Linked DNA regions of Lonchura striata. The protein of the gene in region 2 interacts with the protein of the main gene of each other region in a pairwise test. Links are inferred from orthologs where the notes say so. Each region holds a gene or a part of one and is shown on either strand. Other genes may lie near its edges.

Region 1 (7,627 bases), on a different chromosome or scaffold from region 2:
CCCCTGGAACATTTATATTTCACTAGAATATTCCAAAATGTGAACAGTGAATCTGCTAAATGAGATTTCAACTGATAGGTAACCTGGCATATCCAGCTCCTTCCCATATGCAAACAAAATCTGTATTCTTCTCACTATTTGTCTTCAGAACTCCAAACTGTGCAGCAGGCAGATCAGTGAATCAGCAGTGTTGTGGCTGTCTCTGCCCTGCCTGACTCTAATGCACTCCTGCTAGAGGATGCTGATGTGTTCAGCTGCATTTGCTCACTCATCTGTGACATGCTCTTCACCCACCAGGCCACCAGTTACTGAGTGGGGAGAACTTGCTTCCTTTCTTGGCAAGCATAATTACTAGATTTCATAATATCAAGATATTTCAATTTAGCAAGACATGGAACACTTATTTCATTGGCTAGATCTTATCTTTTGGCTATAGATAAATGTCCATACTCATTCTATTAGCTTTCTCAGCATCTTTTAAAGTTGTGAAATATCTGGCATGAAACAGATCAGCAGCTGAAATCACTCCCTTCAACCTGAATGCAAAAGAACAAGGAAAACACATCTAATTTCTCACTGAGATTTCTCTGTGAGGCTTCTCACCATTCTCCCTGCTCATGAGAGATTCAAAGACTGTGTGGAGCTTCTAAAATAATTTTGCATGCTTTAGTGTGCTTTAATTTCAGACTGCTGCATGTGCAATAGCTCCCTAAATGTCCCAAAAGGTCTCAGCTTTGATTTTGTTTTGTTGATGCCTGATAGAAAGCTCCACGTTTTATGAAAGAAAAAATACAGTGAGAAATCAATGGGGTTGTAATTGCCAGTGCTGTGTGGAGATTATCTCCACCTCTCATCTCAGTAAGTCATTCTTACCTTTTCTGATTTCTGAGAAAGAAACAAATCTTTCCCAATTATTTTTCAAGATTTATTCAATGTATGAATTCAGTGTATTACTACTTTAGAGTATTACTGTTACTGATGCATTCACTGTAAATCAAAGCTTCCCTACTCATTTTTATTACATACAACACCAAGAAAGGTATAATCAAGAGTGGGTTAAAACCTAGAAGTCCAAAACTTCAGATCATAGATTAAGTCTGATTTTTCCTCTTAACATTTAAGAAAACACAAATTATTTTTTTTCCCCACAGGAGATACTAAAACAGAAAGAAACTGAAAAAGTCAGTCTTGTGCTACGATTTGGTATGACAAGTTTAAGGCTCAAATTGTTGTATATTTAATGTCCAAATTGCAAATCCATGGGGGAAAAAACTCCAAGTATTTCCAGAAGCTGCTGAAAAACAAAAGGCCTTTTCCAGTTACAGAAATTCACTGTGAATTATGGCTTGATCATATCTTGCCATAATAGTTTTTAATATGTGGAACTTAATTTTATGTAACTGCATAAATTAGAACATCTTAGAAGCTCCTCAGAATTACTTTGGGCCTGGCTTTATCCCTTACTAGAAAACCAGTCAACGCTATCTATTTTCCTCCAGACATCTCACTAACTATAAAATGGATAATGATGACAACACCCCCTCATAGGAATAAGTATTTGGATTAAATCAAGGAATTGAGTGATTTATCTGATCAAGGTTACTGCACTTGTAGAGTATATTGAGGAAAAGCTAGACTAAGAGAAAAATACTGTATTTTTTAATAATGAATATTTTTACTATTTTTTTCATTCACATAACAAAAATTTTATTGCCCCATCTCTTGTCGCTCTCTGAGGATTTTCCCTCAAAATGATGTTTCAACTATTTAAAGTAGCAGAGCACAACCTAGGCATGGAGATGAACTGTTCTCACTGGGGAATGAATGAACAGAGAGCTAACATGATAAACCAAAGGGGATGCTTACCACTAGCTAGAAAAACAGCTGCTTTATTTATTACCACTCTTTACTACTACATTATTCACCATGGAAACTGTAGAAAAAGAAGTGTCATTAATACACATACTTGTTCACATTTCAAGAATTCATATTTGTGGAACTTGGTGGTTTCAGCATGGGTTGAATAAAACAGAAAATGAGCTCCATCAGGCATTTCAGATGAGGTTTTCATAGTGGGAGATCTACTGCTTGTAGGAACTGCTATGTAAGTGTGAAAGAAAGAAATTAGTCACCTGTACTCTTATTTCAGCCTCTCCCAGGCAAGAAAGGAATATTCAGTGACCATTGATGCACACCCATGTACACAAGCTTCCCTCACTATGGTCACTGGCTACCAATGGCACAGTTAGATAGGGGTCACTCAGCAAAAACAAGAGTTACCATGTCCATTCAAAACTTCTGCTGAAATCTGGGGAGAGAACATAGAGCCATGGTGACCACAGACTGGGAAATGCTACCGGATAAACTCGACATCAGCCAAGGTAACTTACACCATTCCCATCAGTCCAGGTCAGACTGCAGCATGGCTGTTTTTCTAGAGCACAGAGAGAATGCAGCCAACCTATATCTCTCAGAAGACTCCTCAGCTACTCTGATACCTTTTCCTCATGTATCTCATTCACAGAGGCTCCAGCTCCTGGCCACTGTTCCAGATATAGTGCTCTACATACCAACTATTTTGATTGGGGCCTAATGTACATAATACAGTGCTGAAAAACATTATCATCACAATTATGCAAAATATACATACAAGCTCTGATATACAACTGCAAAATACACACAGAATGTAGCTTTACCATTCATATGTGGCTAGAATACAAATTCTTTTTCTAGGAGTGAGAAAAGTAACAAGAGTCTTCATACCCACTCCGCATTTTTCTCTTTTGTTTCTGATTTGGTGCAAATTAATGAATGTTAAATTCGTTCCAGTCCTCAGGAAATTTTTATTCAAAAATTATAAAACCACACAAACTGAAAAATTCAATTTTCGGTTTGCTTACCTGGAATACCACAGTGAGAAGGTTTCCTATTCAACTCGGTGACTTTTTGGTATGTTTTTCTGCAGTTCTTTTGGTTTGGCTTTGGTTTTGGCAAACAAGTAGTCTTCAGTGTTTTTACAGCAGTGGCTATTACGGAAACTATGTCTCTTGTACTTCTTATCTTGGAGGGTGGACAAAATAAACAAACTGAAAATAACACTACAATGAACAGTAAATGATGAATGACTTACAGTACAAAAAACAGTGTAAAAAGAAAGACAAGTTTAAATATTGTTGTGTATGAAAGGGATGAAAATAATACAAGGATGAGAATAAGTAAAATGATAGGCTGGAACATCTGGGAAAGTAAATACAAAGACAAAGAGAACAGTCAATTAATGGAATAGCAAGTCCAAAGTTTCAACAAAAAAAATAGTGAATCAGACTATGCTTGTGGAGGGACCAAGTGCCCATCTCCCATTTACTTCAGTAGGAGTTCTGCGTGGTCAAGCCCTGAAATGTCCAACTGTTAAGTGTTCAATTGTTGTTATTTTTTTAGAGAAAATACTAATTAGTTTGATTTAAATTTGTGTAGGTCCATGCAGTGCTCTGCCTTTAAGCTAATGGGAGCTCCACAAGCTCAGAACTACTGCTAAATCAGAAAGTGAGCATGCTAAATGCCATCTCTGTTTGATTTCATGCAATACATGTATAGTAATTGATTAGCTTTAAACTCACTGCGTCTGTGACTTTCTGATACAAGGAAACAAAAGACTAATTAGTCAGCATAGGAATAAGAACAGCTTTCAGCTTCACCTGGCAACTACTTTGACTGTAAATTAGCAAGACAGTACAAAGTAAATTAACACAGCAAGAGACAAAACATTGGATAACTTCATTAGCAATAACAAGATATGCCAACAATAGGATTGCATGATAAGATAAGGGTAGGTAATTTTCATTTTTCATGGCAAAAGATCTTGAGTCAGCAAGGAGTTTGCTCCCCAAAACCTCTCTGAAAAAATTCTGTGCAAAAACAAACCACAACAAAGATGCTTGCTACTGCTGCATGCAAGCAATGATTAACAGGCCTTCAACAAGATGCAATCTATTACATCAATTACAATATTCACATTACTGTGTGGCTCTGTGACTCCATAAGGTAGATTTGCATGGTTTCTTTTAATCTGTGGTTTGCCATATTCTCTACAGTTTTTGAAATTTAGTATTTCCTCTTGCTTTAAATTAATAAATTTTTCCTTTTATTTATTTAATAGGAACCCATCCACTAAGAAAACAATAATGTCCATTTATGAATCATGTTCATATGTACCAAAAATATTGTTTGCACTGCTTTTAATGGCAATGAAGGCCCAACTCTATCAAATGCAATTGCAAAGCCAGAAAGGAGTAAAATGGTCTACCTCCTAGAGCATAATTTTGATTTTCTGATCAGATTTATTCACTGTTCACAAACTCTGTTGGTAGAATATGTTTCCATATGGCCAAATGAGGATTTCAAGTAATATAAGAAACAGTGTTTTTTGTCCACTGCCTAGAATAAAGAATTTTCTTTTTGTGCCATAGATTGAATTTGAGGTTTAATTTGCTTGGCAGAGCCTTTTTACCTGTAGGCCGTAATAAGTAAAAGTCTACCTGACTCACTGACAAAGGTTCATCTGCACTTCGATCGTCTGAAGACTTTGGAACTTCAAGTCTGTCGATGAAAGCCTGGAGCTCTTTCCTGAAGGCCTTCATCTGCGCATTGATCCGGTACAGAAGCTCGTGCTCACGTATTCTGCTGCCATCATCTTCCTCATCCATCAGTCCAAAGAGGTCCCCATTAGCCACATAAATCCTCGCCTCTGTGATGATGGTGCTCGTGTCGGAAATTAAGCGATCTATTGTCTTGCCCAGCCGCTCCGCTTCAGAGCGAATGTCCTTCATCTGCTGCCTGTCAGTGAAGCTTTTCTGCCACCCAGACGGTGTTGGATAAAAAGACCTTGTGGGTGTCAGGCACCGAATGTTGCGCACCTCTTCGGAGTCACTTTCCCCCCCAATGGGCCCTTCCCTTTTGCGGTGAGGGGGGCGGGAATCATCATCACTCTCCTTTTTTCCTGCATCACTTTCCGCATCGCTGTCTCTAGGGCTGCCACGGATACCCAGATGAGAGGCTAAGTCGTAGCGCTGCATGTTGGACATTAGGACTCTGTTCTCATACTGGAGCTGCATGACTTTGCCACTCAGCTCGTTGATTTGCATTCGTGCAGCTTTTAGCTCCTCCTGTAATGCTTCTGTCTTGGCATTATCGTGGTGCCTAGAGCTCTCATGGGCCCCAGACTTGTACTTGTATTTGTTCAGCTCAGCTGTTATGCGTTTGTTTTGTTCCTCTAAATCAGCTACATTTCTCCTCAGCAATTCTGTTTCATCTTCTACTAGCTGCAAATGCTGTCGTAATTCTGACAGGGATTCATTCTGCTCTCCCAGGAGCGGGTTAGTGGTCCCTGAGAAATCATCTCCTCTTAAATCATCAAGCTCTGCTTTCAGTCCTCTATTTTCTACTTCTAGTTCCACTATTTTCCTCCCAAGAATGTTAGCTTCCTCCTCCACAAGCCTCAATCGAAGCTTGAGCTCAGCTTCTCTTGTGGTAGGGGGCCCACCTGCTTCACCTTTTGGCAAAGGACTGTCCAAATCCCCATAAAACGATCTGTATTTTTGCAGCTCATGTTCAAATCTGTCTTTTTCTTTATCAATTTTAGCCATTTTCTTCCTCATCAAGGCTGCTTCTTCTTTGACAAACTGTAGCTGGCATTTCAGGTCTTCATTGTCATCCTTAGGGAAAAAAAAAGGAGTATTTGAAGAAACTTGAAGTCAAACAGAAGACCTCCAGTGGATCGCCTTAACTTACAACTACAATTGTAATTAATTGTGATTAACAATCACAGGTACATGGCTTTAGATACTATGATATTTTCCTACAATATTTTTTCACTCATCAATAAATTAAAAGAGGGGAAAATACTATTTTACTTGTGACTAAAATTTGCACAGTTCCCAGAAGTACTTTGGGGGATGGGAAAAGGGGGGCTTGCAAAAAACCTTATATTTTCTATGCTTGCAACATTATCAGACTACAGTGTTCAAAAATCCTGAAGTCAACACAAATAGAGCCTATAAATCTTGTTTCACTGTTTCTGCCATTTACTTTGCCTAAAAATACAGAGTAGGTGAAAGCTGGTACATTCTGTTGCATCATCAAGTTTGTTTAGATGGTCTTTGAGATTAGTGCTGTCTGACTGCAGATCTGGGGTACAAGCTCTTCCATTTCACAGCATACAGGAAAACAAACGGCAAAGCATAAAGCAAGCCAAGTGCAAATATGTAAACCATGTACCCCATTTCCATAGTTCCCTGAAGTCTCCACATAGGAATCAAGGCTACAGGTACTTGCAACATACCTCTGTTGGTGTCTGTTGTGACTTTTTTTCTTTTGGTAGGTCTTTGCTTCCTCTCCTCTTCAGTGATTGCTGCAATTACAACAAAAGGACATGCACTAAATTTTTCTAAAGGTATATTAAAGATATATATAATTTGTATGTCATTCATTTTAAAATATAGCAAATCAAATGCAACTAGAAAGGAATTAATTTCTTATAATTTTTGAGACACCAAATACAGAGGAAAGATGCCATAGCCCAAAAATGAAACAGCAATGGCACACAAATAAGGTTTTAGTTTAATCAGCCTGTTACATTTTTTGTTCAACACATTTTAAGACTAGTGCCCAAAAATGAAACAGCAATGTCACACAAATAAAGTTTTAGTTTAATCAGCCTGTTACCTTTTTTATTCAACACATTTTAAGACTAGTGCATTAAAAATGTTTAACATATGACAAGAGTGGTAAGAAAATTAGCATCCCAAGTGATAACTTACAGGTGGAAAAGCTGAGACAAGCAATGAAACCCAGCTCCCCCATTTGATATTAACCCTGGTGGGGCCAGGGCACTCTAAAAAAGCCTTAGTCTTGGACAGCTGCATAAAACTGTGTCACTGAGATCTGTAGCTGACTCCAGTGTGCATCTACAAGCACACCTTTCTCTGTGTCCCACCCTCAGGCTTCAAGCTTGCAGTGTACTGCAGTCACACCTCCCTAAGTGTACACTAGGAACAAACTCACACATAGCTCTGGTCACTAGGCTTGTTCTGTTTTCAGATCATAATCAAGTAAATGCCATTTAAAACGGCTTGGACTACAAAATTGTAAAGAGAAACAAATCATACCAGCTCAAGAACAGAAACACAAACACCATATAAGTGGGATTCTTTGGTGTCCTAATATCAGCTATATAGCCCAAGAGAGTAGAAAAGAAACTCCTGCTTTCAGAGCAGGATGAGATTGAAGCCAACTAGTATATCCAGCAAAAATCTTGTAGCTGCTGACAGCAGAAACTTTGTTATGGAAAAGCAGCAGCAGTGGAAAAAAGCTGCCACCATCCCACTGGCAACATTCAATACTGATCATCAACAAAACAGCAGGAGAGAGGCACACAAATGAGAGAATGTTCATACATAACACCCCACTTGCAGCCATTCCCAGTTTTTGTGTTCTCCAGGTAAACTGTAGGTCCCAAGGCAGGACAGTGATAATCAACACCATCTCCTTTTGAGACTGTGCTCTGGTAGAAACATCCTGTGAGAAACATACCCTTCCCTGCACCAGCCGGGGGAGAATCCATCTCCATCTA
Region 2 (7,663 bases):
ACCTCCCGTGTGAACCCTCCCGTGGGGGATTTCTGGTGTGGGGAGGATCCGTGGGGCTGGGGGCCTCTGAACCTCCCGTGTGAACCCTTCTGTGGGGGATTTCTGCAGTGGGGAGGATCCGTGGGGCTGGGAGGGCTCTGAACCTCCCGTGTGAACCCTTCTGTGGGGGATTCTGCAGTGGGGAGGATCCGTGGGGCTGGAGGCTTCTGAACCTCCCGTGTGAACCCTTCTGTGGGGGATTTCTGCAGTGGGGAGGATCCGTGGGGCTGGGGGCCTCTGAACCCTCCCGTGGGGGATTCTGCAGTGGGGAGGATCCGTGGGGCTCCAAAAACCCATCCCGTGGGTGCCTTCTGGAGTGGGGGAGGATCAAAGGAGCTGCAAGGCTTCCAAAGCCCTCCTGTGGGGTTTTCCTCAGTGGGGGAGGATCCGTGGGGCTGAGAGGCCTCCAAAACCCTTCTGTGGACAACCTTTCAGAGCTGGGCAAGGCTCCATGGGGCTCTGAGGCTCCCAAAGCCCAGCTGGGAAAGGCTCTGTGGGGTGCCCCAGAGCTGAGCGGGCACGGACAGAGCCCACTGCCCCGTGGAGGAGGCACCTGAGCCACCTGTGAGCCCCTCAGGGGGTGCTGGGGACACCGGGGACACCGGGGACAGAGAAGCGCCACCCAAGCCCCCTGTGGGACCCCCGGTGCTGACCTTGACCCCGTGGCCGATGCCGTCCAGCACGCTGAAGTTGAGGGGTTTCCTGTAATAGGGCTCCAGCACGGGGGGGTTTGGGGGAGCCACGACCTTCTGGCAGCTCAGGAACCTCGTGGCGACGGTCAGCGCGCCGATCCCGCGGCGCGACACCTTCTCCTGGTGCACGTCCACGCTCTGCCGAGGTGACACCGGCCCCAAAATGCCACCCCAGGCTGTCCCCCCCTGCCCCGGGTGCCACCGTCCCTGCCAGCCCCGTGTCCCTGCCCGGGGGGGAGGCAGGGCGGGGATGGGGGTCGGGATTGCCCCGGCACAGCCCCGATGTCACCGCAGCGGGGCCGACCCGTCCCAAAGCCGGGAATGGGGGGCGCTGCCCCAAGAGGGGGACGTGGGGCTCAGCCACCCCCGGGGCCGCAGGGTCCTGTCCCCTCCCGCGGCCGGACAGGCTCGGGGCTCGGGGCTCGGGGCGGCCCCAGCGCCGGGAGGAGCCCGGGTGGCCGCGGGGCTCTGCAGCAGGACGATGCTCCGAGCTCTGAGCTCCCGCTCGGAGACTCGGGGGCGGTTTGGGATTTGGGATGGGAAAACCGCCCCGGCACCAACCCCTGCCCGTCCCGGAGGTGGCTCCCCCGGCGCTCGCAGCCCCCGGCCGGTCCCACCTGTGCCACGCCGGCGATGTCGGCCTCCAGCCGGCGCAGCTGGGCCGCCTGCAGCTCCAGCAGGCGCAGGAAGGCGCCGGCCAGGCTGCGGACCTGGTAGGCGACGCTGGCCAGGGACTGCGTGCTCAGAGCCATCGTCTGCTCCAGCGCCTTCCTCTTGTCGCCGGCCTGCGGGGGACACGGCCGGCCGTGGGACGAGCCCTCCCCGCCCGGCGCCGCCGCCGGAGGAGTTTGCTTCTGCTTTCCAAATGCCTCCTCACGCTGAGCCCCGGCTGCGGGGAGCAGCCCGGGGTAACCCGGGGTTCCTGCCGGGAATGATGCCCCGGCACGGCCGGAGGGCACCGAGTGCCCGGCTCAGCCTCCGGCCACCCCTGGGGACAGCCAGAGGAGCCACGGGACAGCTGGGGGTGGCAGCAGCCGAGCGGGGCTCTCGGGGCTCTCAGCCGAACCGGGGCTCTCAGCCGAACCGGGGCTCTGTCAGCCGAACCGGGGCTCTCGGGGCTCTCAGCCGAACCGGAGCTCTGTCAGCCGAACCGGGGCTCTGTCAGCCGAACCGGGGCTCTCAGCCGAACCGGGGCTCTCGGGGCTCTCAGCCGAGCCGGGGCTCTCAGCCGAACCGGGGCTCTGTCAGCCGAACCGGGGCTCTCAGCCGAACCGGGGCTCTCAGCCGGGGCTCTCAGCCGAACCGGGGCTCTCAGCCGAACCGGGGCTCTGTCAGCCGAGCCGGGGCTCTCGGGGCTCTCAGCCGAACCGGGGCTCTCGGGGCTCTCAGCCGAACCGGGGCTCTCAGCCGAACCGGGGCTCTGTCAGCCGAACCGGGGCTCTCAGCAGAACCGGGGCTCTCGGGGCTCTCAGCCGAACCGGGGCTCTGTCAGCCGAACCGGGGCTCTCAGCCGAACCGGGGCTCTGTCAGCCGAACCGGGGCTCTCTTCGGCCGTGCCGGGGCTCTCAGCTCTCGGAATAGCTCAGCTCATTTCCCTCCGGTTCTGCCCCGCTGGCTCCGGGCCCTTGGGAGCCGCCTCGGGGCCGGGAGGAGCCACGGCCACGGCCCTGGTGGGCACACCGGGACCCCTGCCCGGCAGGGAGGGCCCGAGCGGGCATTTTCCTTCTGACTTCATCGCCTGAGCTCCTGCACTCGACCCTCATGGGCCAGAGAGGGAGGAGGATGAGGATGAGGAGGAGGATGAGGATGAGGAGGGATGCACCAGCAGAGCTTCACGCTCGCCCTGCGTGCGCAGGCCCTGCCAGGTGCCACCTCCCAGCCCCTGTGACACGCTGTGCCACCTCCCCAGCCCTGTGCCAAGGCTCCACCGAGCCCTGGAGATCCCTCCCTCCACCCAGACCTCTGCGAGAGCTGCTGGGGAGCAGAGGCCAGCCCGAGGCACGGGCAAGCAGCGCAGGGCGGCCGGGCCGGGAGCCGGCGGGGATGCTCGGGCTCCCGGGGCACAGCTCCAGCCGCCGCCCCGCGGGGCTGGCATCGCCCCGGCCCGGCCCGGCGCGGCCCGGCGCGGCGCTGACCTGCAGGTAGTTGCTGTGGCAGTAGTCGGCCACCCGCAGCAGGTTGCCGTGCTGCTCCCGCAGCCGCTGCCGGCCCGCGGGGATGTCGCTCAGCCGCAGCCGCTCCAGCTCCGACATCGCGCCGGGCTCCGCTGCCGCTTCCTCCCCGGGGCCGCCTTTTGAAGCCGCTGCCGGCGCTGACGCAGGGCCCGCGGGCGCCGCGGTGTCCCCGTGCCCCCGGGACACCCCGCCCCGCCGGGGACGAGCGGGGCCGCGGCCGTGGGGACAGCAGCCCCGGGGCGCGGCGGGGACGGCAGCGGGGAGGGCGGAGAGGCACCGGGAACCGGGGCTGCAGGGCGGGAGTGACCCCGAAAGGGTCCCGACACCAGAGGGATGCCGGCCCCTAAAGGATCCTGATCCCAGAGGGATCCTGATCCCAAAAGGATCCTGACCCCAGAGGGATCCTGATCCCAGAGGGATCCTGATCCCAAAAGGATCCTGACCCCAGAAGGATCCAGACCCCAAAAGGACCCAGACCCCAAAAGGACACAGACCCCAAAAGGATCCCGACTTCAGAAGGATCCTGATCCCAGAAGAATCCAGACTCCAAAAGGATCCCGACTTCAGAAGGATCCCAACCTCAGAAGGACCCTGACCCCAGAAGGATCCAGATCCCAGAAGGATCCAGACTCCAAAAGGATCCAGACCCCAAAAGGATCCTGACCCCAGAAGGATCCAGAACCCAAAAGGATCCTGACCCCAGAGGGATCCTGATCCCAGAGGAATCCTGATCCCAAAAGGATCCAGACCCCAAAAGGATCCTGATCCCAGAGGAATCCTGATCCCAAAAGGATCCTGACCCCAAAAGGATCCTGATCCCAGAGGGATCCTGATCCCAAAAGGATCCTGACCCCAGAAGGATCCAGACCCCAAAAGGACCCAGACCCCAAAAAGATCCAGACCCCAAAAGGATCCCGACTTCAGAAGGATCCAGACTCCAAAAGGATCCCGACTTCAGAAGGATCCTGATCCCAGAAGAATCCAGACCCCAAAAGGATCCTGACTTCAGAAGAATCCCAACCTCAGAAGGACCCTGACCCCAGAAGGACCCAGATCCCAGAGGGATCCAGACCCCAAAAGGATCCCGACCCCAGAAGGATCCCGACCCCAGAGGGATCCAGACCCCAAAAGGATCCCGACCCCAGAAGGATCCTGACCCCAGAGGGATCCAGACCTCAAAAGGACCCCGACCCCAGAAGGATCCCGACCCCCAAAGGACCCCGACCCTAACACCATCCCGGCCCCGGCCCTGCCACCTGTGCCCACCAGCCAGGAGCCAGCGCCGCCCTCCCGGGGCTGGGGCACATCCAGGACTGCTCGGAGCTCTCAGGAGCTCTCGCTGCCCTTGGCTGCGCGCCTCGCCCGCCCGGTGAGGGCAGAGGGAAGGGAAAGGAAGGGCAGGGAATGTTCCTGGATGCCGGGACGCTCCCGGTGCCCCTCCCGGGACAGCCTCTCCCGGCGCTCCGGTGACCCCCGAGGTGCCCGGCCCCCATGGCTGGCGACAGCGCGTCCTTCGCTCGGGACGTTTCACATCCCCGCAGGAAATTCCCACTTCCCCGGGGCTCGGAGAGCCCCTCCACCTCTCCTCTGCTCCTGCTCCTCCCCCAGGTGCTCCCCGGGAGCCTCCCGGGCCGTGTCCCCAGCGCTGGGCCGGGCGCTTCCTGAGCCCATCCCGAGGGAAATGATGGAATTCCTGCTCCTCGTGTCCCGGCACCGCTCCGAGCGGCCCCGGTGCCGCACCGAGCTGCCCCGGCACCGCTCCCCGAGCCCCGGCACCGCTCCCCGAGCCCCGGCACCGCTCCCCGAGCCCCGGCACCGCTCCCCGAGCCCCGGCACCGCTCCCCGTGCCCCGGTACCGCTCCCCGAGCCCCGGCACCGCTCCCCGAGCCCCGGCACCGCTCCCCGAGCCCCGGCACCGCTCCGAGCGGCCCCGGTACCGCTCCGAGCCCCGGTACCGCTCCCCGAGCCCCGGCACCGCTCCCCGAGCCCCGGCACCGCTCCCCGAGCCCCGGCACCTCTCCCCGAGCCCCGGTACCGCTCCGGGTTGCCCCGGCACCGCTCCCCGAGCCCCGGCACCGCTCCCCGAGCCCCGGCACCGCTCCCCGAGCCCCGGTACCGCTCCGGGTTGCCCCGGTACCGCTCCGAGCGGCCCCGGCACCGCTCCGAGCGGCCCCGGCACCGCTCCCCGAGCCCCGGCACCGCTCCCCGAGCCCCGGCACCGCTCCCCGTGCCCCGGCACCGCTCCCCGAGCCCCGGCACTGCTCCCCGAGCCCCGGCACCGCTCCCCGTGCCCCGGCACCGCTCCCCGAGCCCCGGTACCGCTCCGAGCGGCCCCGGCACCGCTCCCCGTGCCCCGGTACCGCTCCCCGAGCCCCGGCACCGCTCCCCGAGCCCCGGCACCGCTCCCCGAGCCCCGGCACCGCTCCGAGCCCCCTCGGCCCGGGACCCCTCCCGACCCGGGGGAAGCAGCCGGGACTCCCGGGGGTCAGTGCTGGGGTCAGTACCGGGGTCAGTGGTGGGGTCAGTGCTGGGGTCAGTGCTGGGGTCAGTTCCAGGGGTCACTCCCAACAGTCACTCCCAGGAATCTCTCCCAGGGGTCACTCCAGGGGTCACTCCAGGGGTCACTCCCAGGGGTCACTCCCAGGGGGCACTCCTGGGGTCACTCCCAGTGATCTTTCCCAGGGATCATTCCCAGGGTTCATTCCCATGGTCACTCCCAGTAGCCACTCCTGGGGTCACTTCCAGTGGTCACTCCCGCCACTCCGGGCAGGATCCAGACCTGCCACAGGCTCGGCCACTCCCCAGGCTCGGCCACTGTTCAGGCTCGGACACTGTTCAGGCTCGGACACTCCCCGGGCTCGGACACTCCCCGGGCTCGGACACTCCCCAGGCTCGGCCACTCCCCGGGCTCGGACACCGCCCAGGCTCGGACACTCCCCGGGCTCGGACACTGTTCAGGCTCGGACACTCCCCGGGCTCGGACACTGCCCGGGCTCGGACACTGCCCGGGCTCGGACACTCCCCGGGCTCGGACACTCCCCGGGCTCGGACACTGCCCGGGCTCGGCCACTCCCCGGGCTCGGACACTCCCCGGGCTCGGCCACTCCCCGGGCTCGGACACTCCCCGGGCTCGGACACCGCCCGGGCTCGGACACTCCCCGGGCTCGGCCACTCCCCGGGCTCGGACACTGCCCGGGCTCGGCCACTCCCCGGGCTCGGACACTCCCCGGGCTCGGACACTGCCCAGGCTCGGACACTGCCCAGGCTCGGCCACTCCCCGGGCTCGGACACTGCCCAGGCTCGGACACTCCCCGGGCTCGGACACTCCCCGGGCTCGGACACTCCCCGGGCTCGGACACTCCCCACGCTCGGCCACTCCCCGGGCTCGGACACTGCCCAGGCTCGGACACTCCCCGGGCTCGGACACTGCCCAGTGCAGGGCCGGGGTCTCCCGGGGTCTCCCGGGGTCTCCCGGGGTCTCCCGGCCGGACCCCCCCGCCCTCCCTGCCCGGCCCTCCCCGGCCCTCCCCGGCCCGGCCCCTCCCCGGCCCGATTAGGCCGGGCTTTGGGGCTAATTCCCAACACCTGACCGGCTTAGGCTGCTGAGCCCATTATCAGCTTAGCAGCAAAGACATCTGCTGCTCGGGGGCAGCGCCGGCCCGCAGCCTCTGCGCTGCCTCCATGGGGCTCTGAGCGGCCCCGGCGCCCCGGTGAGTGCCCCGGGGCACCGGGAGCCGCTTCCCCCGCTTCTGGGAGCTCCCGGGGCTGCCGGTGTCCCCAGGGATGTCTGGGCGCGTTCTTTTTTTTGGGAAAAAAGATTTGGGTTTCCCCAGCCTCCACACGCCAAAAACTCTCAGGGCAGCGCAAATAACGGAGCTCAGGGCGATGGAGGAGCCGTGCTGGGAAAAGCTGGGGGAATGAAAGCTGAGATGTTTTATTCCTTCAAAAAGCTGGGAGGATGTTCCTAGGCAGTGGTCAGGGCTGCTGGGGGGTCACAATCCACTGGCACACAGCAGTGATCCCAAAAATCAATGACCCAAATAATGCCTCAGTTCCAGGGCACGATGGCTCAGGACATGACCGAGAAGGAGCTGCTGAAGATGGAGCTGGACCAGCTGAAGAAGGAGGTGAAGAACGAGAGGCAGATGGTGAGTCCCTCACTGCAGGGAGGGAAAAGGAGGGGAGGAGAAGAACCCCAGGCCCAAAATCCACCCGAGGGGAGGAGAAGAACCCCAGGCCCAAAATCCACCCGAGGGGAGGAGAAGAACCCCGGCCCCCGAAATCCACCCGAGGGGAGGAGAAGAACCCCAGGCCCAAAATCCACCCGAGGGGAGGAAAAGAACCCCAGGCCCAAAATCCACCCGAGGGGAGGAACAGAACCCCAGGCCCAAAATCTACCCGAGGGGAGGAAAAGAACCCCAGGCCCAAAATCCACCCGAGGGGAGGAAAAGAACCCCGGCCCTGAAATCCACCCCCAAAGCCAGGCAGGAGCACCCACGCTGCCCCTAAAGCTCTGGGATGCCCTGGGACAACCCCGGGAATATTTGGAATGCTCTGGCAAATCCCAGGGGTGGTTTTGGGACTCCGCAGGGATCATTTGGGACACCCCAGGGGCGGTTTTGGGATGCCCCAGGGATGGTTCTGGCACACCACAGGGGCGGTTTTGGGACTCCGCAGGGATCATTTGGGACACCCCAGGGGCGGTTTTGGGATACCCCAGCCCAGGCTCGTGTCCCACTTGCCCATTGTGGCCCTGGG
Region 3 (7,237 bases), on a different chromosome or scaffold from region 2:
TAATAGGACATCAATTTTTGCATCCCTAACAGATTTCACAGCTGTGCGTCTTCCCCATTGTATCTGTAAAGAAATGTATTCATTCCAGCCTAAACAACAACTGCATCACTGTCTCTACTTCCGCTGCTCACAGATCAAAGTACAAGCAGTAGCAACAAGAAAAATGTAGCAATGTTTCCAACTTGAAACACAATACTTACCTGCTCAATGCATACAACAGCCTAAGTTGCCAATATAAATCCTGACTATGCTTCAGAGCTGTTATTTGAGGATTTTTAATGCAATCAGATTTCTGCTCAAAGAAGACTGTGCAATACTGGCAATGAACATATGAATACATGTTATCAACTAAGATAGAACACAAAACCCATGTTTCTCTATTAAACAATACTATATTGTATGTGGTCAATCCAACAAAAGGTTGTCCACAATGGTTATATGACTCAACAGTAACTATTGATAAGAATTTGTTTTTATGCAACAGGAATGAGGAACTGGAAGAAGTGACAGACTGGCAGAGAGAGAAACAAGAAAGGACATCCTGTGTGTCTGGCCTATATAATCCACAGGGCTCGATACACTTACCTTCTGTGAGACAAAAGACACGCACAGACATACAGGATACAGCAATTAGAAAGTGTCCTGAACTACTCTACGTTTCTCTAGTTTCAAGTTTCCCAAAAAAATGTTTAATAGCAGCACTGGCCCAAAGCCAGTTACTCACCGGTTGGTTTCCACTACACACCCAATGCATAATTACCTGGCTTGCCTGATGGTATTGCACGTGTTGAACAGTCTGAACTACGCCAGCAGAACAGTGAATTCTTCATTATATGTAATTAGACTAAGAAAGCCCCTGCTGCTTTGGTAAGCCAACTTCCCTCCCCCAAGTTTTCTGTGTTCTAACTATTGAAATAGGTGAGCTCTCCACCAGCCAGGTACTACAAGATCAGTTTACAAGCTCACACAGCATACCAGTACTCATTAAATACTGAATATAATACACAGACCATCATGTGACTCAGGTACATTAAATTACCAATGATTTTGCAACTTGCTTCTAGAATGCTCAATTTTTAGACCTTAGTAGAGCATAGGAGCTCTACTAAGGTCTAAAGAGAACTGTTGAATGAAAAGCCCAGTGAATCTTGGTGTAGAAATACTCTGAAATCCATGGGTACCTGCATTTAGAAATTGATTCAAAACAGCTATCAAATCAAGGCCTCTGCTCTGAACAGTAAGAGATGTCTGATACTTAACCATAGTTGCACTAAGTAGGTGCTGGCCCTGGCCAAATTTAGAGAGATTCAGGCTTATCAGTAACACATTCCTACATTTCAGGGTTTGTCCTCCTTGTTAGAAGGTGGTGTGCAAGGGAATTCTATATTGCAATACCCCAAAGCATACTGTATATAATATCTTTGAAATATTTGCTAGCATATTTACTTTAATTTGCCAAGATACTACTCAAGTCATTGTACCAACAACTGTGGTTTTTAAGATTTTTTAGCTCTCTACAGATGGAGATTTGTAGTGTTTATTAAGAAACTATTACACTAAAACACTAGGAGAGCTGGAGTTCTGGAGACAAAATGTTTGCTCCTCTTCAACAGTTCAGTGGATTTGTAATATGATATGCTTAACCCAAATATCTACAAACATTAGTATCCATTTTAAATCAATGAGAATGTTTCCGTTATTTTAATTTTATATAATCCTATGTGTGATTAGCAATTTTAAGTATATATTCCAAAAAATGATTGTATCATTTAGACTTTTGGCAGAAACATCACTTTCTTGGATATGTAGACAGCTGCAAGTCTGGGTTTATTCCGTTTGAATTTTTTTAATGGAAGGGAAGACAACAGAAAAATAAAAACAAGCCTAAGGAGCAAAGAGTCATTCCTTCCCACATCTTGACCTGTGACCCCCCAGTGATAGAGACAAGGATGCAGCTGTTATCACCACACATGCAAGAAAGTTAATAAATTGAAGAATTCAAATGTCCTAAACAGCTTGAAGCGGCATCTCTAACTCCCACAGTAATATGCCAATTTCACATCCAAATTATTAAGTGACCAATATACAAAGGACATGATTTGTAACTTTTGTAGACTGCCTCCACCTTGCAGTTTGCCAGATCATACCAGATTTCTGTTGCTTTGGAACATGGATGAGTTTCCATTCCACTATCAGACAAGCCTGGCAGTCTGGATTATTTTTTCAAATCACTATACAAATTCCTAAGGATATGACTGTGGAAACTTTTCATAGGTATCTAGGTCACATTTTTATCTACTAATTTGTATGAGAACTGACTAATTTTACAGATTTTATTCCTTCTCATTTCCTTAAGATCTCAAGTGGATTCCCTAGTTTACTAGGGAACCTGCTGTAAAGCCGACTTCCTCAGAGCCTTCAATTTATTGAGAAATTCCCATGTAGTTCGATATTCTATGAAGACTCCAGAAGAGTCAACGTTCCCTGTTCTGGAATTTCACCCTAGCGTACTGAGTTTAAAGCACTCGTTCTCAGGACTGAACATCGCCTAATAACCCGGGAAAGGTCCTCACGGTGAGGAACTGGGAGCCGAGACGGCTCTTCCAGAATTCCGATGTGGCTACGGCGGAGACAAACCTCTGCAGCTCGCGGTGCGCCCCTCTCGGATCGCAGGGCTCTCTCTCCCCTCGCCGGGCTGATGCACGGCACCGACTGCAGCAGGATTCCTGCTGCTGGCGCACCCCCGCCAGCGAGACCCCTCGCCTCCGTGCGCATCCAGCAGCGCCCACAGCTCCGCGGGCGGCCGCTCCCACCCCCCGCCCCGGCACCAGCCCGGCGGCCCCCGCGACATCCTTACCCCATGGCGGCCGGCAGCGCCTGGCACCGGTGGTGCCGCGTCCCCGGGGCGCTCCTCGCCGCGCTGGCAGCTCTGCAGCCCCGTGGCGGCGGGGCCGCTGCTCTGAGCTCACCGCAGCTGCCGGGGGCCGAGCAGGGCCGCCCGCGCCCTAGGGAGCGCCCCCCGCGGGCCGGGCTCCCATGGCCACCGGCCCCGCCGGGCGCCCGCAGGCAGCGGCTCCGGGCCCCGGGCGGGCGGCAGCGATGGCTTCGGGGGCGGACGAGTCCCCTCCTGCAGGCGAACGGGGAGGCGCTCGCCTTCTTCGCGAGGGACTGGCGGCGGCTGCGGCGCTTCTCGCCGGGACGTGCGCGGCCGCGGAGGGCTCCGTGTGCCTCAGAGGCGGAGCGGGATGGGGCAGGCGGTGCGCACAGAGCTCCACGCCGACGCTCCCCCTAGCACCGCCGCCAGCAGCGTGGCGGGCACGGATGCATTTTCCCGAGAAGGCAGAGCGAGCCGTGGCACCGGCGCTGGCATCGGACTCCCGGCGAGAGGCCGCTACCGACGACCTGCGGCCGCGCGTCGCCCGCGGGCACCGGGGCACCGCGTTCCCCCGATCCGCCCGCCCGCCCCCGGCTGCGGAGATGCGGGGCACCGCTCCTCCTTCCCGCGGCGGCGGGCCCGCTCCTCGCCGTCACGCCTTCTTCTGCAGCAAGCGGGCGGGCATCGTCCTGGGGCGCGGCGGATCGGTCACTGACAGCGGGCGGCGGGAGGGGCTGCCGCCGTCGAGCCCGCGCTGTTCTGCGGCGGGGCCGCAGGCTGAGCCCCGCCGGTGGGACGGAGGGAGGGAGCGATGGCCGCCTCAGGCGGTGCCTGGCTGCTCCGGCGCCACCGAGCCGCTGCCTGTGCCTGCTCGTATCCCCCGCCTCCGCCTCACACCTCCGCCACCGCCCGCTCGTCCCCTCGCGGCGGGCAGGCGCAGCCGCCGCGCGGAGGGCGCACCTCCGTCCCGCTCCTCCTTCCCGGGGAACGGGAACGCAAGAGAAGGGAAAGCGAGGGACGAGAAGAGCGGAGAGGAGCCGCGCCCTGCCCTACAGCCCCGCGCCGCACGCAGCCAGCGCGCTCCTGCCCGCGGCGGCACCTGCCCGCTCTGCCTCCATCCTCCGCCCGGGGAGCTTTAAATAGAACACGTCACCGCGCTCCCCTACGCACCGACGTCACGCCCCGCTCCCGGCGCTGACGTCACCCGGGTGCGGAGGATGATGTCAGAGCGGTCCACGCCGCCGGAAGCTCTTCTATAATAGGGAACGGCGGCGGGGGGAGAGCGGAGCGGGGAGGGCTCGGGGCGCTGGCGGCGCCGGGCCGCCTCCTCCCGCCCCCGGCCCCTGCGGCGCCGTCTCCACGGCAACGCCGCGCCCAGCGGCTCGCGGGGAGAGCCGGTGTCACGGAGTCACGGGCGAAGGCGGTGCGCAGCCCTCTCCGGAGCGTGGCTGCTGCAACTGCCCGGCCCTCCGCCTTGCCAAAACACAGGCCCGCGTCCCCGTGCTCTGCAGGCACCCTGCAGACACTTAACACAGACAGCGTTGCCGGAAGAACGGGGAAGAAACACGGCAGCCGTTCTAAAATTATCCCCCCAAAAACGTACATTCCCGCACATCCACGCTAGTACTATCGAAAAGAAAGTAAGCTGGACAGGACCTATAATATCTGGCTGAGTTCTTCAGCTGTGCCATGCAAACAGTAAGCTTCTAATCCATCACAGTTGCCCAAGTTCCAGCATCATGTACTATCTTGCAGGGATATACCTCATCTAAAATTCTGCAAATACTTCCATTAACTGCCTGAGATTCCCTCAATTTGTAAACATTAGGTTTAACTACTCCAGTACACTGCCAGTGGCATTGGGATACCCCAGGTGGAACATGCTCCTTGCTAGGAGTATTTTCATGGTATCTCAGTATTTTGATGGTATTTTCTGCTTAAGTGAGGTTGTAGCTACCAGAGGCATATTAAACTACAATGAGCATAAGAGGAAAATATTGATACTATACTATATACCAATCTCCACATAAAAATTGAACAAGCCTAGAATATTACCAGTGTGTGTTACAGAATTGTAAATCATGATAAAACCAAATATGTTAAAGCTGTTGTTTTTAACAAAGAGTTACTTGTCCTCTCATAGAACCTCTATTACCTGTGACCGAGTATATCCTATTAAGAGGCTGGAATAAAAGACAGATAAAGCATTAACCTAACAATCTGATCTTCCTAGAGTCAGGCTGCATATTTCCAAAACTTATTTTAATTTACAGATGCATGCTTTACAGGCTCTTGTTTCAACATTTTGACCTCTAAAAGTAATCAGCTATGGGAAAAGTAAGCATGGTAAATTAAATATCAAGGCAAACCTCCTCCAATCACAAACAGTCATAGGAAACCCAGCATGAATCATTACTAGGGGAGTAGCAGCAAGGCATACTGCCTCACAAGGCAGAAAAGAACAGCTTCCTCAGTTGTCCATTTCTCATTTCCCACACACCACCTCGTAAGCTACTGTAAAGGCACTGAGCTAAAAAAAGTTTAGTCTGAGTGACAACAGTCTAAAGTTTGTTGTGTGCAATGCTCAGAACCTGTATGGTTATGATAAGGCTGCATTACTTCACTGGACTGCAATTGCTCTGGTTGGGCTTCACCTACTACCTCTAAAATATGAAGTTCTATGTATTTTCCACTAAAAATCAAATAGTGTGTGTAAACTTCTATCATAAAAGGGAGGTACTCTGGTGTTGGGGTGGGGAGGGAAGATGGAGATCCACAACTATTCCTTTTTCTATATGATTAGAGTGAAAAAGATCAAAATTAATGCCAACTAGGCAAGCATAATCAATAAGTAGCTTATATGTACGTATTCACTGATGTCAAGTAGTTAGGAGTCTATATTCAGTAGTTAGGAGTCTATATTTTGTTCTTTCAGCTCAAGCTCACACACTAATGCAAACGCCTTAGTATTTCATTATGTTCACAGTATTTTGTTTAGATATCACAAAGATGATTCTATCTGTCTCTGCCTTTCAACTTGTTCATGTATTTGTCGTGCATGAAGTATGCTATTCTACAGCATGGGTACAAACCCAGAAATCCCCAAGAATTAAGATAAAAGAGAAAAATATAAAAATAGACAAATACACACTGAACCCTGGGGTGAAGAATAGTGTGCTCACTTGAGAATCAGAGGTGTGAACAGAATTGTGGACAAAGAAACATGGGATCTCAATAATGTCTTTATTTACTCGTTAAATAAATGGGCTGTATATTTAATGCCCTTTTATAAGTAATAAAATATGAGTACTGGGATGGATAAGATCCTGGGTAGAGGACCAGAACCGTAGAGACAAAGATTTATTTCAAGTAAATCTGATTTTTTTTTCATTCTTAATTCTTCATTTAAACAATTTTTATTTATTATTACATTTAAGTACAGAAATTCCACCTAATTGATTACTTCTCTTCCATATTTATTGTTACATTGCCTCCAGTTCTGACAGGTTTCGCTAAGATTTAAGCTTTGTCTCAATTACACCCTTTTACAGTCTTGATTAGTGTTCAGGTTGGTTTTATCTAGTTAACATTATTTGTCTTGTGGAGGAAAGCCTCTCTTTATACTTGCCAACCTCACTGAAATCCCTTTTCTGTCTTGCCATTCCCCAAATTAATATATGATAGTAATATATGATACAAAAGCATGGTGATCTATGTCAGCTAAGGCAGAACTGTACATACAGATACAAAGTAAGCAAGCAGAGTAATTAATCATAGATATTAACATGAGAAATACACAATCACCTCATCTTGAAGACTGAAGTGACACAAAATAGAGAATTTTAACACTGATGACAAGACTTTTAGCTCTAAGTTAATTGCTTTGGGGTTTTTCCCCTGGTATTTTAGAACACTTCTTTGTCTAGAGAACTTTGATGGAGGCAGTCTTGAGCATTCCTGGAAATCATCAGCAGCTCAGTGGCTGTTCCTTCACAAAAAAACCAGGTAATGCCACAATCAAATAAGAGATGGATGGCTTCAGGCAAGGCAAAGCACAGGGTGGTGCAGGGGAAAGAGTGTTATTTTGCAGAATTGAAGTAGCATACTCCTGGTGTGTATATCGTAGCCAGCTATTGAGCTGCCAAACCCTGTTCTGACACCCTTGCCCAGGATGGCCAACCAGATGGGACAACACCTGTAAACTTGGCAGCAGTTACTGGTATCTCTGAAAGGAATGCTACTTTGAGTCTCTCAGTGGGATACCTGTAGAAGGAAAAAAAAAACCAGATGGCTTTGCTGTCTGAATCTCAAGCCTGCTATGAATCAACATGAGCTGACTGCTCAAAGTCCTGGAAGAGCAGA
Region 4 (7,346 bases), on a different chromosome or scaffold from region 2:
GTGATCAGGAATCTCAAACCCTGGATTTGAAAAGCATGAAGCATGCTTGGGCCAAAGTTGAGAGGGAAAAATTTTATTTTTTTCAATATTCATGGGCTGTGATAATTCCAAGATGTATAAATGAGGTAGGATTTTTTTGGTGAAGGTTGACATCAGAAAATCAAGCTTTTATGGTCAATCTGAAAACCTGAGAGTGAAAGAAGAAGCCTGAAGTATGTTGGATTTTCCTTGTGCATCAAAATTCACATTGTATTTTAATGCAACATATAATAGAAATACCATTGATAAAAGAAGGGGGAAAAAAAGTTCATTCTTGCCCCACCCATATTCCTCTTTAACAGCTGAAGTTTTGAGTCAATACTCCAATACTGAACACATCCTTGTTCTGTAAACTTAAGGGCACTGCAATTATTTTTACAATTTCTCCAGTACCTGAACAAACTAAGGTAGCCACTCCTTTTCTGTTTCAATAAACATTTAAAATCTTATTTTTTTAAGCTCAGGAAAGATGTTTGAATTCAGAGACAATCCTGTTGAAAGGAGATTTTTGAGTATATTCTGGGATGCTGCCTGTGATTGCTACATTTTCCTCTGTGCAGTAATTTTGGAGATGCAGTGAATGAACACTCATTAGATATGCTCTTGTTGGCTCATTTCCCTTCTTTTTGTTTTCTTCCTCATGAATTGAAGTGAATGCTGAATTTTTCAGCACAGTTGCAGGGTTTTTTTTAGTGTGGTCTGAATATTACTTCAGCATAATGGTAATGCAGGCTTAGTGACAGAAGTCCACTGTGTTAGTGGCTTTCTTCCTTTCTTGAGCAAGGGAATAAGTAGTTATTTCATTAAAATGTCTGTCTGTGATCAGATAATGTCACCAAGCATCTGGCAAAGGCTTTGGTGGAATTTCAGGTCAGGAGGACAAATACTGATACATTGATATGCTAAATAACAATAATGCAAGATGTTACACTTGAGGATATTGGGCTCTTAGCAGAGTAGCAGCATGAGGCCCTTGGATGGCAGTGAAATGCCAGATAAAACAAGAAATTTCACCATATCCTCTGCCTTGTTCTGGTTTGTCATACTTCCAGGCTTTTTTTGCATCCTTTGCTTTTTAGACAAGCTTTCACCAAGGATAACCACTTCTATTATCGTCTCTCTTGTTTGTTAGAGCCCAACATTAAAATTGCAAAGTGTTTCCCAAAACCTTCTGCTTGTCTTCAGTGGGAGGGACACTCAATGTCACATCTTTTTGGCCTCTGATCAGAAGGTGGGGTCTGGGTCCCACAGTTCTCATTATATAAATTATCCCACTCAATCTTTAGTAAATTCTTCTTTCATGTGACATAATTTCAGTTTCTGGTAAAGAGAGGGACATTTGTCATCAAATGTCTGGACTGGTTATACTGCCAGGAAGGGAATAAACAGCTTCTTGTGAAAAATGTCATTGCTGATTGTGGTTTCTGACATAATTTCTGTCTGCTTCTCAAGATCTTCAGTCTGGTTTATGGCACAGGAAGTTACAGCCTTGGTTAAAAGTTATAAGGAAGTATTACAGCCTTGCATTTATTTATGTGGCCTAATTTGGCCATTGCATGTGTTCATGTGACTTTCTGAAGCCCCTGTGTGTTCTGTTTGGTAAATTTTCATGCTGAGGCTCATTCATGTCTACAGGAGGACATGATGGTCTCAGATCTTACTATTGAATATGGGAATCCTAGTAATTAATGAATCAGAATTGAGACTATTGGTTGTTTCACATGACAGAAGTCCTGCTGTTTCTGTGTGTAATGCTGTCAGCTGTTGTGAAAGTGCTAGCCAAGAAAAAAAAAAGTTAAAATGTTATCCCAATGAAACCTTTCAACAGCTGACCTCTACTGTATATGAAAACTTTGTGGAGGATGTTTGCTTTTCTAGTCCTTCACAGTGAACCCACTGATGACAGAAGCCTTGACTTGAACAGTTAACTATTTCATTGCATTGTGGCTGTTGAGAAACTGCAGAAATTGGAAGACTCAATAGTGATTCTGTCAAGTTTGTTTCAAGAAGAATGCTTAGGGGAAGCAGTATGTTTGCTCTTAATTCTGTAGAATGGTTTTATTTTAAATAAACACCATAAAAAAGAAGCATGTTTTAAGTGAAAACTAGCCCTTTTCTACTTGATTCAAGCTAGAGAAAGATTGTGGTGAGCGAGAAAAGAGAAGCTCAGAATTCTGTCCTTCCTCCATGAGGGATGTTGGCTAGCTCTGAAGGTATAAAACTATTTCCTACAAGGTCAGGAGCAGAAAAATTGCTTGCAAGGGGTACCTCTCCCGTGCCCAGCTGCTTGGGTGCTGTATACAGTGAGCATACTTGTGGTGAAGTCAGCCTAAATATGGCAGGCGGCTTCTTCTGACGGCTGCGTTGTTCTTTTCTCTGCCAATTTTAATCTTTTATTAGGCTGTAGCCAGAATCACCTACCTTGCAGTCCTTCTCTTGCTGGATGCTTGTGGAAGAATTAATTTCTGTCAGATGGTGTGACTGCATGTGTTTTAGTGTTCCTACGGCGTGCCTTTATTGTCACTTAACACTATCACATTTGTTTAAAGGAAATAAAATGAAACCCAAGGTCACTACTACATTAAAATCACTATGTCTCAAATTAATGTGACTTTTTTTTTTTTTGTTTGTTTGTTTCCAGTGCTGGGGTTTTTTTGCCATGAGTGCCTTTTCCTTTCATCCCAGCCCTTTTTGCCTGTATTTCTCAGAGCCATGAGGTCAGATGCCACAGTTACCATGGCCTGGACCCAATCACTGTGTCTAGGAGATGTGGCAGTCTGTACCCTGTGGATGCTTTTCCAGTCTCCAAATCCCACAGCTCAGTGGGACAGCCATTGCCTTAGAGCATGTAAATCTCAGGAGCTGTAGTTTGGTTTGGCTATTTCAGACTCCAGCCAAAATCCTCCTTGTGTTTCCTTGTGCTAGAAACCAGCCCTAGCAGTAAAAGAGGCAAGTCAAGGAGGGGGGCAGCCCCAGAGGTAGCTTTGAATTTGCTGTCTCCCTGCGACTTTCCCATGCAGCATATTCTCCCACAGCCTCGTTCTCTCTTCTTCCCAGGGCTGGGGTTGATTTCCCAGGATTAGAATCTCCCTCATTTCCAGGAGCCCTCACCTTTCACCTTCTCTCCAGCCAGCAGGCAGTGCTGGGTGGCCGCAGGCTGTGGTGGCTGATGCTGAGGCTGGCGCAGCGTGCCCGGCCCCGGGGTTCAACCTCCCATCCCGCCGCTGACCTGGCCGCCGGGCAGAGCCCCTGCAGCCTCACAGCTAACACCCGTGCAGTCCCTCAGCAAACGGGCGATGGGGTGCGACTCCCGCATGTCCAGAATTCCCACGGGATTGCTGCGGGGGTGGAGAGCTCTGGCTGCCGCCGTCGGGGTGCGTTCCCCGGCGCGGTGCGCAGTGTTCGCTCCAGCTCCGCACGCCCGGCTGCCGGGCCGGTGTTTCCGAGGCGCGGCCGTGCCGTGCCTGGCCGAGCCGCTCCGGAGCGCGGCCGGGGCTCCCCCGAGCCCGGCGTGCCCCGTGCCTCCCGCTGCCCCGGGCCTGGCTTTTGGCGGCCGTGTCGCCGGGCTTGTCCCCGCGTGTCGCCCCCGGGGTGCGCAGCGGATGCTCTGCCCCCTGCGCTGGCTGCGCTGTTGCCATGGAGATTGCGTGCGCTGTTGCTAGGCAGCTGAAGCATCCTCGCCTGCACACCGCAATGCCACGAAATGCTCAACTTTCCTCATGCCCATCTCCCTTCTGTGATCTCGCAGATATGACTCCTTTGGCTCTTATCCCACTTCATTCACTTGCACTGCTGCGATTTCTTGGTGTTAACCCTGTAAACCCTAGAAAGCCCGCACGGCCCTGCAAATAGGGTTTATGGCAATGAGTTCAGGGCTGAAGGAGTTAAAGTGGTTGGGAATAGACTACAGAGGAAATGATTTCTAGCAGATAAACTACTTTAAATGTTCTGGCATTCATGGAAGGGGAGGTTTGTGGATGGAGTCTTTTGTTCCATCACTGATGGTTTAGATGAATAAAAACAGACTAAAATACCGCTACAAGGTAAGAAAATCAGCTTGAATGGGCCTAATTAATCTCTTCTGTTACGATATATATTTAGTTTTTTATTATCCTCTGCTTGTGCTTGTTGATTTTGATGTAGCATGTGAATGATAATTTAGCGATGAAGCCTGTCGTGTACCATATTTGACTTATTTGGCTTGAATAATAAAGATATCAGCCTGTATTCTTGGAGTATACTGCATTAATCAGACTTGCAGGAATGATCACATGGTACTCTATCGCCTTTTCCTGTTAGCTGCTGCTTGTCAGCAGCTGGCTGAGCTGTAGGCTGCAGGCCAGTATCTGCATACCCTTTCTCCTCAGAATATTCCAAATATACTGTCTCGTCATTATGCATTTTGCTGCAGTTTGACAAACTAAATGGTCCTCTGCACGTTAAGAAGATTATTTTAAATTTCAGAGCTTTTGTGTAGTTGCTAGGCCATGTATGCATTTGAAGAATTCAGGTAGGCTCTCTGTTTTATACATCAGTGTGCTTGGTTTTTGTTCTCACAAGGTTTTTGCTGTGTAATGTCAGTCAGCTCTACAGTTAGTTCGTCAATGTGCAGATATTTATTGTGTTTTAGAATCTCTACCCTGTGCATGGGGAGAAGTGCTTGAAGGGTTCGTTGCAGGTAACGGTAGCTTAACTGCATGATGAAGTGCAAAGCTGGGTAATTGATTATATCTTGCACAAATTTCATAGCCATGCAGCCAGAAGCAGCGAGTACAGGGTAGTTATAAATATAAACCAGAAACTGTTCTCTTTAAAAGGGTCTTTGCTATTTTTAGTCCTGGAGAATCTGACAGATGCTCCTCCAAGATAAAATACTGATGGTGATAGAGAAGAGAAAATTGATGCTTGGATTGTACATAGGATTATATTTTATATGCTGCTGCAGAGTATACATGTCTTTTTCATAACCTTGTAGCTGCAGAATTACTTATGAATTATATTTAAAATAAGAATATTGTTTAGTTTGATGGGGTTGGTTTGTAGCTTGCAAACATTTGAGCAACTGTGATTGCTAGAATATAAAATTAGCACTTTTTATTTGATATTGGTTCTGCTCGGTATTGCCTCTGCCCCCTCTCCTCCTCCATCCCCACCCCCAGTATAACTCCATCCTTATGCAAGTATTGAAGTCTATTAAAACCCCAACAGATATTTGAAGACATGAAACAGAATTTCTACACTCACTAACAGACAGTAATTTTCCTATGCAGTTTGGGACTTGAAAATTTCTGGTCAGTAGTTGTGGGGTGGGGAGTGTCTCACTTTTTGTAAAAATTTTTTTTGCTTAATGTGTTCAGTTGTTATAACTTGTGTAATGAAAATTGTCCAGATAAAATGGTGACAACATTGAAACAGCACTAGGCATCACATTGTGATACGTTTGTGTACTGTTATTATAATGCATCTTAAAATTAATCTTTCTTTTTGATTCAAAAAAATGGATTGTTTGACCAAGTATGTAACTAGAGGAGATGATGGATTCTCTTTCTAAACACAATGAGCATTCTTTATCAAAAACCTTAAAATGAAACTTTCTACCCTCAGATTAGATATTTTTAAGATTATTTCTGCCTTTTGTTAGGCAAATATATTGGCAATTTCCATTATTTTGTCACTTGCTGCTCAGTTCTGTTTTTGAGTGGTGGCAAAAGCGGCAAAAGCAGGTACAGGACACCCCCTCTCCCCAAAATGTTCTGATTCTAGCTGCAAGGGCTGAGGAGATCCAGGCTGACTGTGTATATTCCTGCTGCTGTGAAATGCAGCATGAATGCTGTCTGAGGGGAAAGATTTTACTAGAAGACTAGATAATGCTGTGTAACTGCTGTTGTCAGGGCTGTCAGGAGATGCTTGGAATCTTGACATTGCTGATTGTTGGCAGTAAATTAAGGTGAATTGTGCCCCAAACTTACTGTGAAACTTACTGTGCCCATGGAGTTGTTTGTATTTCTGCCAGTTCGTTGGGTCCTGTTCTTAACTGAGTGAAATTTTCAATAAATCTCCAATGAGAAAAAAAAAAAAAAAAAAAAAAAAAGGATGCTTTTAAAATTTTGCTTTTAAATTCTTAGCTGTCTTTCAGTGGCTTTCCTAGACATCTTGGGCTAGAAAGGCACCTACTTTTATGGCAGGAATGGTCAAATGCTGATTACACACCCATTAGGCTTATTAAATTATGTGTCATCCTCTCTTGGACTTGACTTGAAAATAGTATTAACATTTGATGTGCAGACTGCTAGACATTTTCTTTTAAGTGTTGCACTGGTAGGGCTGGTGTTTATGTATAGCAGCATTTAAATGGCATTTATTTTATTAGGAATTTCTGTGGTGTTTTGTTGAGGTTGCATCTTCATGTTGATGGGGTTTTTTTAATAGTATGATTATTCTCGTGCCTGTGGCTATTTTAGATTTTGATGGCATCAAAACAAATCTTGCAAGATAAAGATTTAAAAGATGTCTAGTTGAGCAGTGGGGTGGAAGCCTCCCTGCCAGGGGCTCCTGGAAGCAAAGTGGCTGTAGCAGCAGAGGGAACTCTTCTCTGGCCTAAGGCCCCCAGCTCCAGGGTTGCCCCACTCTCGTCCAAAGGTCCCCATCTTCCATGTGCACAAAACACAGGCTTGCACTCATCTCTCACCTTGGCCTTAACCTGAAGTGGATGCTCACGTGTGTGTTGGAGCAGCAGGGCTGTTCCATCCTCCAGTGCACCCACAGGCCTTGAGTACCCAGGTGTCCCCAGATGTGGGGAGCCCAGTGGTGCCTTCTTATGCAGACACAACCATGACATCTTTCTGTGTTACTCTGCTGGCTTTTTTCTGTCTCCACACTGGCTTTTCAAGACCTGCAGGACTCTCCAGATGGGTGGTGTGGGCTGTGGCACCCTGAGCCTATGCCAAGAGGCATCACTGCAGTCAGGCCACCCAAGTTCCCCTCTGACTTCATTTTGATGCAGCCATCTTCACTTCCCTGGTGAAATGGTGCCAAGTTATTTTTGTGAAGTGTTAAACAGCTGCTGGACCTCTCTGAAGAATTGTCTCACTTAAAGACTAGAAGTGACTCTGGTGTACTGTTTGTGAAAAACTTCGTAAAGCCCTTTGGGATGATATCTTTCCTATGTGGTTACTGGCTGGATGAAGAGAGACTTAAGCCTCTGACAAAACAGGGAGTAAATCCATAGAATAATCTTACAGCTTCTTGTATAGCCAAGCTTGGTTTATCTTCCTTTTGGAAAGAACCTAATATCCCCTGAAAAACTT

Evidence for each region.
Region 1: the proteins of ABI3 (region 2) and KIAA0408 interact in binary tests that used the Homo sapiens proteins (3 or more experiments, as listed by UniProt). The two-hybrid records come from large-scale screens. The link is inferred for Lonchura striata from reciprocal best matches to the Homo sapiens genes ABI3 and KIAA0408.
Region 3: the proteins of ABI3 (region 2) and HOMER1 interact in binary tests that used the Homo sapiens proteins (3 or more experiments, as listed by UniProt). The two-hybrid records come from large-scale screens. The link is inferred for Lonchura striata from reciprocal best matches to the Homo sapiens genes ABI3 and HOMER1.
Region 4: the proteins of ABI3 (region 2) and EVL interact in binary tests that used the Homo sapiens proteins (3 or more experiments, as listed by UniProt). The link is inferred for Lonchura striata from reciprocal best matches to the Homo sapiens genes ABI3 and EVL.

Annotation. Positions count from the first base shown.
Region 1 is NC_134605.1:61,603,821-61,611,447, reverse strand, and holds the start of KIAA0408 (uncharacterized protein KIAA0408 homolog), read right to left. Parts: upstream 3,015-7,627; 5' UTR 2,901-3,014; intron 1-2,900. Other genes in the region: MTCL3 (microtubule cross-linking factor 3), read right to left, coding at 3,127-3,237, 4,536-5,711, 6,338-6,406.
Region 2 is NC_134627.1:7,978,483-7,986,145, forward strand, and holds the start of ABI3 (ABI gene family member 3), read right to left. Parts: upstream 3,014-7,663; 5' UTR 2,984-3,013; coding exon 2,867-2,983; intron 1,517-2,866; coding exon 1,349-1,516; intron 870-1,348; coding exon 693-869; intron 1-692. Other genes in the region: GNGT2 (guanine nucleotide-binding protein G(I)/G(S)/G(O) subunit gamma-T2), read left to right, coding at 6,970-7,053. UniProt on the Homo sapiens protein: May inhibit tumor metastasis. In vitro, reduces cell motility.
Region 3 is NC_134642.1:12,141,598-12,148,834, reverse strand, and holds the start of HOMER1 (homer protein homolog 1), read right to left. Parts: upstream 3,013-7,237; 5' UTR 2,863-3,012; coding exon 2,858-2,862; intron 1-2,857. UniProt on the Homo sapiens protein: Postsynaptic density scaffolding protein. Binds and cross-links cytoplasmic regions of GRM1, GRM5, ITPR1, DNM3, RYR1, RYR2, SHANK1 and SHANK3.
Region 4 is NC_134608.1:12,187,721-12,195,066, reverse strand, and holds the start of EVL (ena/VASP-like protein), read left to right. Parts: upstream 1-4,331; 5' UTR 4,332-4,526; coding exon 4,527-4,549; intron 4,550-7,346. UniProt on the Homo sapiens protein: Ena/VASP proteins are actin-associated proteins involved in a range of processes dependent on cytoskeleton remodeling and cell polarity such as axon guidance and lamellipodial and filopodial dynamics in migrating cells.